3 linked regions of the Coturnix japonica genome follow. The protein of the gene in region 2 purifies or fractionates together with the protein of the main gene of each other region. This does not show direct contact. Links are inferred from orthologs where the notes say so. Each region holds a gene or a part of one and is shown on either strand. Other genes may lie near its edges.

Region 1 (4,279 bases), on a different chromosome or scaffold from region 2:
GCCAGAAAGAAATTTACAACTTTATTTCAAACTATTAAAAAAGAAAAAAAAAAAAAAGAGGGAAACACAATTTGGAAACTTTTACACCCACAAAATTAGGCATAATTGGTGTGTTCAGATGCTGGGAAACCCAAAGGCAAACTGGAACACAAAATTGAGAACACAAATTCATAACAGAAACATTTACCAGTATTCCTCGGTACAAACTTCTGCCAAAACATCACTTCTTAGAAGAACTTATTCTAGCAAATAGCAGTGGTTGTGCACCTCGGTCTTTTTGGCTGCAATTCAGAGAATGCCCTTAGTTTTGTAATGTGGAACATAAGCTTGAATGCAGATGAAAATACATATAATCCTGCAATAAGCCACCGTGGTACAGAATGTGTGCTAGAAGATCATGATAACATCATTACGAAATTAGGAAAGAATACGAATTCAAGACTTGCTGGGCAACATAATGCTGTTCCCAAAACTGCAGTTTAAGCACCTCTTTAACCTCTATAAAGTAATGAAAAGTGATGCTCTGGTATAACAACTGTGAGGTTAGAAGTGGTGAAAGCATGTAGCAGTCCTGTGCAATCTGTGGAGGATATCATTTTAAAGCCGAGAAACTGGGGGCCTTCCAGCAGTTTCAAGCCTCCATAAACTTGCAGTGTGAAACCTTTATGTCAGCTGTAGGCTGTTTCTATAGATAGACAGTATACACACTTTCTTTTCAAAAATCCCATGGTTTAAATTTAAATGAAGTTTCAAGAGGCTCAACTAACACAAACAGATCTGGTAAAATGTTTCAGATGGTAATTTCATGATCTTTTAAGGTGAAATGACATCAAGCTACTCTGGACACTCACTACGTTTGACTTTGTTACCTGCAAACGATGATTTGGATAAATATCGCTGTAGTTAGGGCTGAAAAGAGGGACAAAAGATCAACTAACAAATACAAGCCCCAGCAAGTAAGATCCCTTCTTCAAGCAAGATAAACAATAACTTGGAGTCATCACTCTCTTGGCAGCTGACCGTTCTCCTCTTCCTGTAGCCATACCCTGCACCCCATGCGCTGACTCACAGACATTAGGTTTTGTGGCTGACTGCACATCCCAGCTTAGGTTGCTGGAAGGGTTGCTTCACAAAGCCACAGCAGTCTGAAGTCTCTGCCCATCAGACATCCTGGCTGGCTGCCCTTTCTGCTAACCAGTGTCCATTCACTCGTGACAGCACTTCTGCCAGCTGCAATTTCCTTTTCGCATTCCACAGTCATTTGAGCTTCACCATAGGAGTCCAGTGCCATGCAGACTGGCACAAATCTCTGCACTAGGAAACGTCTCTTACATAGACCTTAATCTTTCCTTTCTTCCTTGGCCATGAATTTCTTCTACACTGAACTCCAAACCACAGTGTTAGGATAATCATTTATTCTGCTCATAGCTGTGTCATGCTTGTCTTCAAAGCATAATTACAGCGCCCATTAATTCCATTTCTGATACACAACCACCTTTTAGTAGACATTGGCCACCAGAATCCCACTGCTGTGTATCTGTGGCTGATCCCTTAAGATGTCCTTATCTGAATTGCTAACCTGCTCGGGTCCCTTGTGATTCTGCTGCCACTGCTGCTGTAAGGATTTGTATTTTGCTATGCAAGTTTTCAAAGTATTGTTTTCTTTTGCTGTACGCCAAAATACTGCACAGAGTAAGTGGAGGAAATCAATGGTACAGTTGGAAAACTGGCAAACATTTTTATGAAGAGGAGTTTTAATTTCATTCTAACAAGGAATACAGTACTCCAAAGGCTGAAATAGTAAAGTTCCACTGTATGTACAGAGAATCAATGAAACTCATTTCATTCTGATCACCATTTTATTCACCTTTTTATTCTCCCTAGCAGATGCCAAAGGAGTGCCCAGCCCTTCCAGATTCTATCCTCTTCTTGAGGGAGGAAAGCATCCTTCTCTTTTCTGGGCCACGGGCTATAAAACTTAAATCAGGAATTACATGTACTCCAGCTCTCACATCGTGGTGAGCTTAAGTACATTACAGCTTCATTTCTTAGCAGCTAACATTGGTATGGAGTGCATCTGTGAATAAAGTCACCTCAGGGAAGAATTTGTTCTTCATCTACTAATATCCAAAATGGTTCTCAGAAAAGCAGCACAGAACAGATCATTTCCGATAAGTGATACTTGGGTAATTTCCAGCCAATGACCCAAAAAAACCAAATGGGTGTGTGAAGGAACAAGCACTTAGTCCATTCTGGAGTGGTACTAAATTTAATTGTTGGTCCAAGGTCACTGGATAAACAACGTCCAGAGTTAACTTCAGTGGTCACAGAATCACAGGATGACCCGGGTTGGAAGGGACCTCAAGGATCATGTAGTTCCAACCCCCCTGCCTGGCAGGGCCACCAAACATACACCTTTACTAGATCAGGTTGCCCAGGGCCCCGTCCAACCTGGTCTTGAACACCTCCAAGTGCCCCTGCAGGCACCAAGGTCAGTGCAGGACAGGAGGAGCTCCAGGCACACAGCAGCCGCTCCCTGCAGCCCAGCAGAGGCTCACGAAGGAGCAGCCCGTCCCCCTGCAGCACCGCGATGCCGCATGATGCGAACCCAGCCCCGCATCACGCCGGGGCCGCGGTCGGGACTCGTGCAGGCTCCGCAGCGCGGCCCCAGGCCCTGCCCGCCATGGCCGCGCCGCCCGCAGGCCGCGTGCGACCGCCCGTCCCGCCCAGCGCCGCGCCCACCTTGACGCTCTGGTCGCTGGAGCAGGTGGCCATGCGCCGCCCGTGGAAGTCGAAGGAGACATCGTGGATGAGGTCCCGATGATCCGCCGCGATGCTGCGCGCCACAAACATCGCGGCGCCGCCCGGCCGCCACGCTCACTGCGCTGCGCCTGCTCCGCCACGCCCGCCCGCAGCCAGGAGGCGGAGCTTCGTGCGGGGACGCAGGGAGGGCTGCCTCCTTCGGCTCTGGGTAAGGCACGTGTAAATCAGCACTAAGTGCCGTGCCGCCGTGACTGGATGCCGCTGGCAGGGGGTGCTGTGCAGATGGAGCTCCCCGCCTTGTTCCTACAGCATCCAGGGGGTGGGAGTGGCAGCGCACAAATGCACGCCGCGCTGCTCAGTACATTGGCAATGGTCAGGAGGACATAAGCGCCCTCGGTTACTGAGTGCAACCACTTTGTGCCATGTAGCGAGATAATGGGATGCGTGCTTGGACTTGGAGAAACATCAGATCATTTGCAGTTTCCAGTCACTGAGCCATAAATTTGGACTGCAATATCTAACCTCAGGCTGAGCTGAGCTGAAGACCTGAATGAATGAACATTCAATTCATGGTGATGTCTGAGGCAGAAAACTCAGTGGTATTTCCACTTTGTTATTTGCTAGATCACATACAGAGGAGTGGCATGCTGAATCGGGGCAATACTGATACTTATTTTTGAATGTTTGGATTCATTATTATCTGTAGATTACATTAAATTGAACCACAGCATAGAAGAAAGAAAAAATATCTCTAATAAGGATAGTTTTCCACTTTTGACACTGTATGCTGACGTTGTGCTCAAGTTGACTGAATAAACCTGCGTAACTTCATTAACTTCAGCTGGAAGTTCAGCATGACTCTATTAACATTGGTGGAGATACTCAAAGCAACTGCTGGAATATCAACTGCTTCATGGATAAAGGCACTCTGGAAATGGAAGTACTTTGATTTGATACAGTAGTACGAGTATTATAGAGCAATTTGATTCAGGGGAAAAACAATCCAGCAAATCCAGTCATTAAGTAGGTTTATTAGCTTTGAGTCTCCAAAGCTTAATGATCAGAAACAGTTTGCAAACGTTTGGCAAACTGCCTGGAAGTGTTCTTGTATGTGTAAAATACTGTGTTCTACAGGTGGTGAGGCACTGGAATGGGCTGCCCAGGGAGGTGGTGGAGTCACCGACCCTGGGGGTGTTCAAGGAACAACTGGATGTTGTGTTGAGGGACATGGTTTAGGGGGAGCTATTGGTAATAGGTGAATGGTTGGACTGGAAGATCTTTTAAGTCTTTTCCAACCTTGGTGATTCTATGATTCTATGATTCTATGAAGTTAGAAATCTAAAGATGGGGGTTTCAGGCGAAAGCACCCATAATTCAGCAGTATGTGAAAGATAGGAGATAGATTCTGTTCAAGGAAGAAAATACCAGAGTTAAGAGTGTAAGTCAAATGAAGTGACTGAGAGATGGCAGAAAGAAATCAGCAGCTAACACATATTACACGGGCAGATGTGGGAAT
Region 2 (4,328 bases):
CACCCAAAACCTAAAGGAGGGAGGCTGCTGCAATATTGATGGCATGGGGTGCTCCAAGGTTGACCTGATGGCCAATGCTCACCATGTCACCATATGGCACCACTCCATGTCACCAAGTCCATTGCCCTCCAGTGCCACCCCAAACCCGAACGCTGGCTGGGAAGAGGGTTGAAACAGAGGGAACAATGGGAACGATGGTGATAACAAACACTGGACGGTGACCTTCAGCCACGTCCACGTGCCGTCGGCGGGGTCCTCCCCCCGGGCACCGGAACGGACGCAAAACGGGACTCGAACCGGTCCGGCCGGTTCCCTCCGACTCCTCCCGTGCCGCATGGCCGCGTTCCACCGCCGCCCTCGGATCGGTGCCCCCCGGGAGGGCACGGCCTTGGGGCGTCCGTCGAGCCGCAGCTCCGCTCGCCCCACGGCCACCATAATCCGCTCAGCTCCGGGATTACGGCGCGGGGCCGACGGTGCCCCCCCCCCCCCTCCCCTTCCCGGTGCTGCCAAAGCCTCCGTCGAGGGATTTAACCCCGACCTCAGCCCCCAGACCGGCCCGATGCCCCCCACCCCCACCACGCCCGGCCCCTCCAGCGACCAGCGGATGGGGAAACTGAGGCAGCGGGGAATTCCCGCGTGGGAAACGAATAGCCAAGGCCGTCGGAGGGCGGCCGGAGCCATATAAGGGCAGGAGTTTCACCATTTCCCTGCTTTTTTTTCCCAAGATTCCGGCGGCCCCGCGGCCGAGGAGCAGCGCTGGGGTGACGCCATGGGCTTGGGGTCCCGAACGCTCGCTCTCCCCTCCTGGATCCTACAACCCGCTCCCGCCATGGGCACACACAGCTTCCTGCCCCATCGTGACCCCCAGGGTCCATGGCCTGCTGTCCCGCTCGGACACGCAGTCCCCAGCCCCACGGGGACCCACGGCACTGGGAACCCGCAGACCTAAGCCCCATTGGGACCCACAGACCCCATGCCCCATAGGGATCCCTGGCTCCCACCCCACGGAACCGTAGCCCCATTGTAGCCCTCGGTCCCCAGATCCACAGGCACCCACAGTGCTGGGAACCCCAGGACCCACAGACCCCAGCGACCCCCAGCCCCACAGGGACCCACAGCACAGGGAACCCCACGCCCCACAGGCCCCATAGCAAACCCCGGCTCCCCCCCCCCGCCCCCACGGAGACCCTCAGCTGTGGGTCCGCTGTGGGACCCCAGCGGTCACACGGCCCCGTGAGCCCCATATCCAACCCCCCACAGCTCTACACACCCCAGCCCCACATCCAGCCCCATAGATCCCTCCCCCCCCGCTCTCACTCACTCTCAGCACTCCGCCGCCGCCCCGTCCCGGCCGTGCCCGCAGGAAGCAGCGGGCGAGCCCGGAGGGGGCGTGGCCTGGGCGCAAGTGGGCGTGGCCTCGCCCATAGCCCCGCCCACCCCGCCCTTAGCCCCGCCCACCCGGCAGGTGGCCCCGCCTCCTCCCCGCCCGCCATTTCCCGTGCTGCCCCGCGCGGGCGGGAAGGCGCTGACAAGATGGCGGCGGGGCTGGCGGAGCGCAGCTACATGGAGCTGGGCCCGGCTCCTCGTGCCCCGCCCCGACGGATCCGGGAGGTGTCCTTCAGCCCGCCGGGTACCGCCCCCGTCCCCACCGGGCGTTACGGGGACAGCGCTGGGGGGTTCTGTTACCGAGAGTGCGCTCAGTTGGGGGCGGCCACGCGGAACCGCTGCGTGAGGTGGTGAGTAAGGGCGGGCGGGGCTGTGAGGGGACGGGGCGGGATGAAGGCCTGGGGGGGGGGTTGAGTCATGGAGGGGCTCTTTGGGGCATAGAGATAGAGAGGCTGTGATAGAGAGGCTGCTTGGGGCATGGAGGGGCTGTCTGGAGTGGGAGGGTGTTGGGTTTTGGGGTGGGAATGGAGTGATGGAGGGAATGAGGGGGGATGGGTTTGGGGCTGGGGGTGGATCAAGGGTCTGTGGGGTGGTGGGGGTGGGTTTGGAGGCAGGTAGGGATGGAAGGTGGGGGTTGTGGGGGTTGAGGATGGGTTTGGGGGATGATAGGGATGTGAGTTGGAGAAGGCAGGGACAGAAGGAAGGGGTTTTGCTATAGAAGGAATGAATTTGGGGCAGGAAGGGATAGAGAAGGCTATGGGGGTGGGGGTGGGGCAGGCAGGGATGGTTTTACCTGCTCCCAGCCCCTCCTTGTGTCCCCTGTTGTCCCACACTTCCTTGTTTCTCTCAGGACAACATCTGGGGACATCCTTGAGCTGGTGGAGGAATCTCTGGACACGGAGCTGCTGAACAATGCTGTGCGGTTACGCATCCAGGGCTGCCCGCTGCTGCCGGGCGGTGTACACCTGTGTGAGGTGCAGAACCACCTGGTGCTGCTGCTGGTCACTGTGCAGAGCGTGCACCGCATCCTGCTGCCTCATCCAGCCCGTGCCTATCGCGGGGTGAGTGGCATAGAGGAGTTTATGAGGGATTTAAAGCCTGGCCCTGTGGTCAGTGGCTCCTGTGGAGGCATTACTGAGTGTGAGAAGGGAGAAAATGCTGCTGGAAAATGAGATTTTAAAGCCTGTATGTTTTGGGAAGCAGCAATCGTGGGTTGAAAAAGTGACTGTCACTTAGCAGTGTTGCTCTGTAGGTGGTGAGTTATTTCCTCCATGGCTTGTGTATGTGCTTGAGACTTGTTCTCCTCCCTTTACCTCCTCCAGGATCTGATAGCAGAGAGTCAAGTGCAGTCCGTCTTTACAGACATTGGCAAAATCAACTTCAGAGATCCATCCAGCTACTACCTGATTCCCAGTGTGCCAGGCTTGGCAGCCAACTCACTGGCCTCAGCAGCCTGGCTGAGCAGTGATGGGGAGGCCCTTTTTGCTCTACCCTCTGCAGCAGGAGGCATCTTTGTTATTAAGCTGCCTCCTCATGACATACCTGGTAAGGCTGCATCCTCACACCTGCTTCTGTGGAGCACTGTATCCCCTCTTCCAGCTTTGGACCTCGATGGGTTTTGCTTTTGTCACTTGTGTCTTACGGCCTTGCTGCACACACAGCATCTCTTTTGCATCAGCCTCCTTTCTGGCAACATGTGTTTTGTTAACTAAGTCCTCACTGTGTTTTCCCTGTGTTGCTTTTATTTTGCAAGGAGTTGTTTCGGTTGTGGAGTTGAAGCAGAGCTCGGTGGTGCAGCGCTTTCTCACCGGTTGGATGCCAACAGCAATCAGGTTGGTGTTTGGGGACAAACACAGGGAGCTCGCTTTGCTTTATGATTCCCTCGCATAGGAGGAGGTGGTGTTTCTAGTTGAAGTCCAGCGTGGGCAAATCAGCACCTGCAGATGTGTTCTGCAATGTTAACTGGGTCACAGGCCCCGTCACAGTGAGACTTGAGGGCTGGATTAGTTCATCTTAGTGGGGTCCTGCTGATTCTGTGCGTTGGTGTCTGTGAGTGTGTTACATCCAGTAATTGGCCTCTGAGGATTTACCCAGGATGTGGCTCGCAGCCAGGGTAGATTAAGGATTACAACAGTTGTATGTTCTTGTCCTTGTTCCAAAATGTCAGGCTTCTTTCTGACCAGCAGAGGTTACGTGTAGATAACAGCTCGTTTGGGGACTGTAGTCTTATGGCAGCTTAAGCACATGATCAAACCCTGTTAAAGCCTTCCTGGGAAATGTGAGTGAGCCTGCGGCACCCTGAGTTGGATCACAAGGGGTGCGTTGCTTGGGGCCAGGTGCCTTTCTTTTCCCACCTCAGTCCTTCATCTTAATGGGTAAAACATCACGATAGAAATCTACTGCCTTGGACCTGTGTGCCAACCTTGGCTTCCTTTTAACACACCTGTGCTTTCAGAGGTGACGGTGGCCCATCAGACGTGCCCATCAGCCTTGCAGTTCACTGCCTGGACCACGATGCCTTTCTCTTTGCTCTCTGCCAGGACCACAAGCTTCGGATGTGGTCCTACAAGGTGAGGCTTGCGTTCGGGGCAGGTGTAGTTTAACAGGTGACATTGGGTGCTTTCCAAACTAACTCTGGCAGGCAAGTGGGAGTACCCCAAGGGATGAGGCAGCACCCAAAACGGGTGTTCTGCTGCTTGAGTGGTAATGTAATGTGACTCTTTGTCAACAAGAAACTGCTAAAAGCCTCTGCTTGCTGCATTGTACTTGCTCCAGAGCTAATCAGCCAGCACAGGCACTTTCACGGCTGGGCTGTGCTGGAATGTGTGTCTGCTACTGGAGGGAGGGGAAGCTTTATGTGCTGGCTGGGAGAGCACAGATGAGCTGGGGGAGCTAAACTGCAACCAGAATGCTTATGGTGTACATAAAAATATTTTGCTGGC
Region 3 (3,187 bases), on a different chromosome or scaffold from region 2:
GCAGTTGCTCAAATGATTGTATTCAGATGTAATAATGTGCAGGATGCAATCAGTAGTTTTCTTAGTGCTCATTGGTGGTATTATGTAAAAATGATTACTTTGTACTGGTAACATAAACTGAGACTGCACTGAGGTGCTGAGCTCAGCAGGAACATATGCATAAAATAAATCAGATGTGAATTAACTGAGAAATATCCTTTTGGAAACAGAAATAATAAAATATAAATGAACCATAAATAATTCAGTCAAATGTGTGACTTGGTGAGTTGATCTTACTTGGACTTAAGTGGAAAGGACTAGCAGAAGCTCATTGATTAGAGGTGGTTTAAGACTAAAAGTTGGAATGGGAGAGAAGAGGAAATGTTGGAAGATGCTTTAAAGTTGCCTGGGATGGGGTTAGTTTAGTTTTTAAATAGCTGGAGTGGAAATAGATTTATGTTACCCCATCATAATCAAGATTAAAGAGTTACATAACACAGAGTGATTCTATATGGATGCAGTGCTTGTTTTAGTCTCTCCTAAAGCCTCTTGTTTCAAGTCAGTTCTGTGACCTGTTCTTGGCACTTGTAGAAAACTGTGATCAGAAGGAGCACTGTAGAAAAAGACCTGGAAAATGGCTTTCTCATTTGTTCAGATTAACAGACAAAGCATTGTTTCTGTTTGTCTTTAAGGATGAATATGATATTGATGACTGCTCTTGGAAAGTGCCTGAAGAAAGTATTTTAAACACCGATTGCTGAAATAAGTGCTTCTGTGTTCCACTGTTCTGTGTTCTCAGCAAGAATTACAGCTTCTTGTAGGAGAAACAGAAAGGAGAAGAGCATTCTTAAAAACTCCGCAGCCTTTCTTGTATTTGTGGATTGAGAGCTTGTAAAGAGAACTCTCAGGAAAGTCACAGGCTCGGCTTAATTGATTATTCTTAGGTACTCCAGAAAGAAAACTTACGGATTAGCAAGTGAGTCAGTAAGAACTGGATCTAATCAAACACAGCTTCTTACAGGTTTGTCTAGATAATATTTCTATAGGAAGCAAGGTTATTCTTGCAACACTTAAAATTTCACATAACGCTGGGCCATCTCTGACCCTGAGAATGTAGTCTGGTTTTAGAAGAGCTGTTTAGTGTTCATTAAATGGAGTTAAGTGTTCTGTAGGTTTACCTGAACTTGTAGTTTAATGCTTTGCTAACCTCTCTTGCAGACAATGCAGATAGCAGTACGCTCCATGCTGTGACTTTCCTTCGCACGACTGAGATCTTGACGGTAAATTCAATTGGACAGTTGAAAATATGGGACTTCAGACAACAAAGAAATGAGCCAGCTCAGATATTTTCTTTGTAAGACCTTAATTTTTGTCTACTTACTGAGAAGCACATGCTACTTCATATCTGATTTAAGTCTCTCCTGTTACCGCCTCATTCTTGGCTATGGGATGATAAATAACCTTTTTTTTTCCCCCCGGAATATTTCTACTGCTTTGGTATTTCAGTACCAAAAACAGAGTCTGCTTAATTACTGCTGTGACTGAACGCTGTAATGGTCTGCTTTGTGATTTAACTCTGAAGGACTATTGTATCTGCATGTTCATTCTTTAAGAGCAAAGCAAAGCACTTCTTCCTGTTTAGCTGATTAATTATACATCTGTTTTTTTCCAAAAGGCCTATAAAAAATTGCTGCCATTTGAAATGTTTCTGAAGGATAACTTTATGCCTTTTAAGGTATTGTGAGAAAACAAAGCTGGATTCAAATCCTGTTGTTTATGGAATAGTTCCCATTGCTGTTAATAGGCTTAGGGTTTGGTACCTGGTTAGCGCCTTATCTCCCTCTTTAACTCAGGTCTCCATCTGTAGCTGGCTGCGTATGTTGCAACTGTAATTATAACTTGAATATCAGAATTACCTCCTTGTAGGCATACTTGAAATATTTGTACACAAGGCTTTCTCATCCTTGCAAAGCTGTTGCATGTTGTGTAGGTGCCTTGTGCCCAAGCACACAGAACCTGCTGCCCTCCAGTCATAGCAGCCTGTTACTGCTATAGGTCTTCACTCCAGTAGGTGTCATGTGGCTGCAGTTGACACAGTTGCCCTGTCGGTCAATGCTTATGGAGTGTAAAAAAGAGAAAGTGTAAATTGCATGAAGATATAATTTACACATTTATTTTTCTTCTTCTCCTTTACAGGACTGGTGACAGAGTTCCACTGCACTGTGTGGACAGACACCCCAATCAGCAACACATTGTGGCCACAGGGGGTCAGGATGGGATGCTGAGTATCTGGGACATCAGGCAGGGTACTATGCCAGTGTCCTTGCTAAATGCTCATGAAGCAGAAAGTAAGTATCTGAGTTAAGGAAAAGAGAGGTTGTCTTAGGAAAAGGTTCTGTAAATCCTGGATAAAATCTTGGATATGTTTAGTAGTAAACAATCACATTTGCTGCATAAAGTGCCATTATCCAGTTGGTTTTGTTTTGTTCCCTCTCTGTATGTGAAACTGTTCTCATCTAAAAGGCAACTCTGTTTAAATTAAAGCTAGAATTAGTAAGCAGCTCCTTGTTAGTCATTAGAGACATACAATCTCATTCTGGGAAGGAGTATGTGTTGTGTGCAGATTTAAACTAATAGTCGAGAAGGTGGCATAAGAAATTATTCAGAATGCCTGAGTTTAGAGAAGATTGTAACCTCTAGCAACATACACAGTATTGAAAATAGGGTATTTGATATACTTTTTCCCCTCTCCTATGGAGGGAAAACTGCAGTGATAACTGAAGGTGGGGCTGGGGGCCTTTCTCCCCACCTATCCACCACACCAGCTGAGAATGGTGGGAGCTGGGGTGCATGTCCATATCATATTAACAAGAGGACATTGAGCTGCATATCTGATACTTCTGAATTGGTTTTGTTACTTTCCGGACCCTGAGGGTCCAGGCTGTCTTCACTAGTCCATAACGTTAAAAAAAAATAGTGTGAAGTTCTCCTAAAGCAATAGCATCCTTCTGTTTAACTGGAGCTCTTTTCATTTCCTGGAGCTGACAGTTCTTTCTCACCACCCTTCTTGCAAGCAAACCTGTAGGAGGCACTTGCTGAGTGACTCCATTCTGCATACAGCCGAGCTAAATAATGCTGCTCCCACTGGTGTATATTACTATTAAGTACACTCCTTTTTATTTGTGCAAACACTGTAGTTTTAAATTAT

Evidence for each region.
Region 1: the proteins of NUP160 (region 2) and SEH1L fractionate together in Homo sapiens (co-fractionation; 3 studies listed by BioGRID and IntAct, with this or other methods). This does not show direct contact. The link is inferred for Coturnix japonica from reciprocal best matches to the Homo sapiens genes NUP160 and SEH1L.
Region 3: the proteins of NUP160 (region 2) and NUP43 purify together in Homo sapiens (affinity purification with mass spectrometry; 5 studies listed by BioGRID and IntAct, counting the BioPlex papers as one, with this or other methods). This does not show direct contact. The link is inferred for Coturnix japonica from reciprocal best matches to the Homo sapiens genes NUP160 and NUP43.

What each region holds. Positions count from the first base shown.
Region 1 is NC_029517.1:87,397,269-87,401,547, forward strand, and holds the start of SEH1L (nucleoporin SEH1), read right to left. Parts: upstream 2,918-4,279; 5' UTR 2,854-2,917; coding exon 2,743-2,853; intron 1-2,742. UniProt on the Homo sapiens protein: Component of the Nup107-160 subcomplex of the nuclear pore complex (NPC). The Nup107-160 subcomplex is required for the assembly of a functional NPC.
Region 2 is NC_029520.1:523,842-528,169, forward strand, and holds the start of NUP160 (nuclear pore complex protein Nup160), read left to right. Parts: upstream 1-1,488; 5' UTR 1,489-1,533; coding exon 1,534-1,736; intron 1,737-2,236; coding exon 2,237-2,447; intron 2,448-2,708; coding exon 2,709-2,931; intron 2,932-3,139; coding exon 3,140-3,218; intron 3,219-3,841; coding exon 3,842-3,956; intron 3,957-4,328. UniProt on the Homo sapiens protein: Functions as a component of the nuclear pore complex (NPC). Involved in poly(A)+ RNA transport.
Region 3 is NC_029518.1:43,392,327-43,395,513, reverse strand, and holds part of NUP43 (nucleoporin Nup43), read left to right. Parts: intron 1-1,197; coding exon 1,198-1,333; intron 1,334-2,175; coding exon 2,176-2,327; intron 2,328-3,187. UniProt on the Homo sapiens protein: Component of the Nup107-160 subcomplex of the nuclear pore complex (NPC). The Nup107-160 subcomplex is required for the assembly of a functional NPC.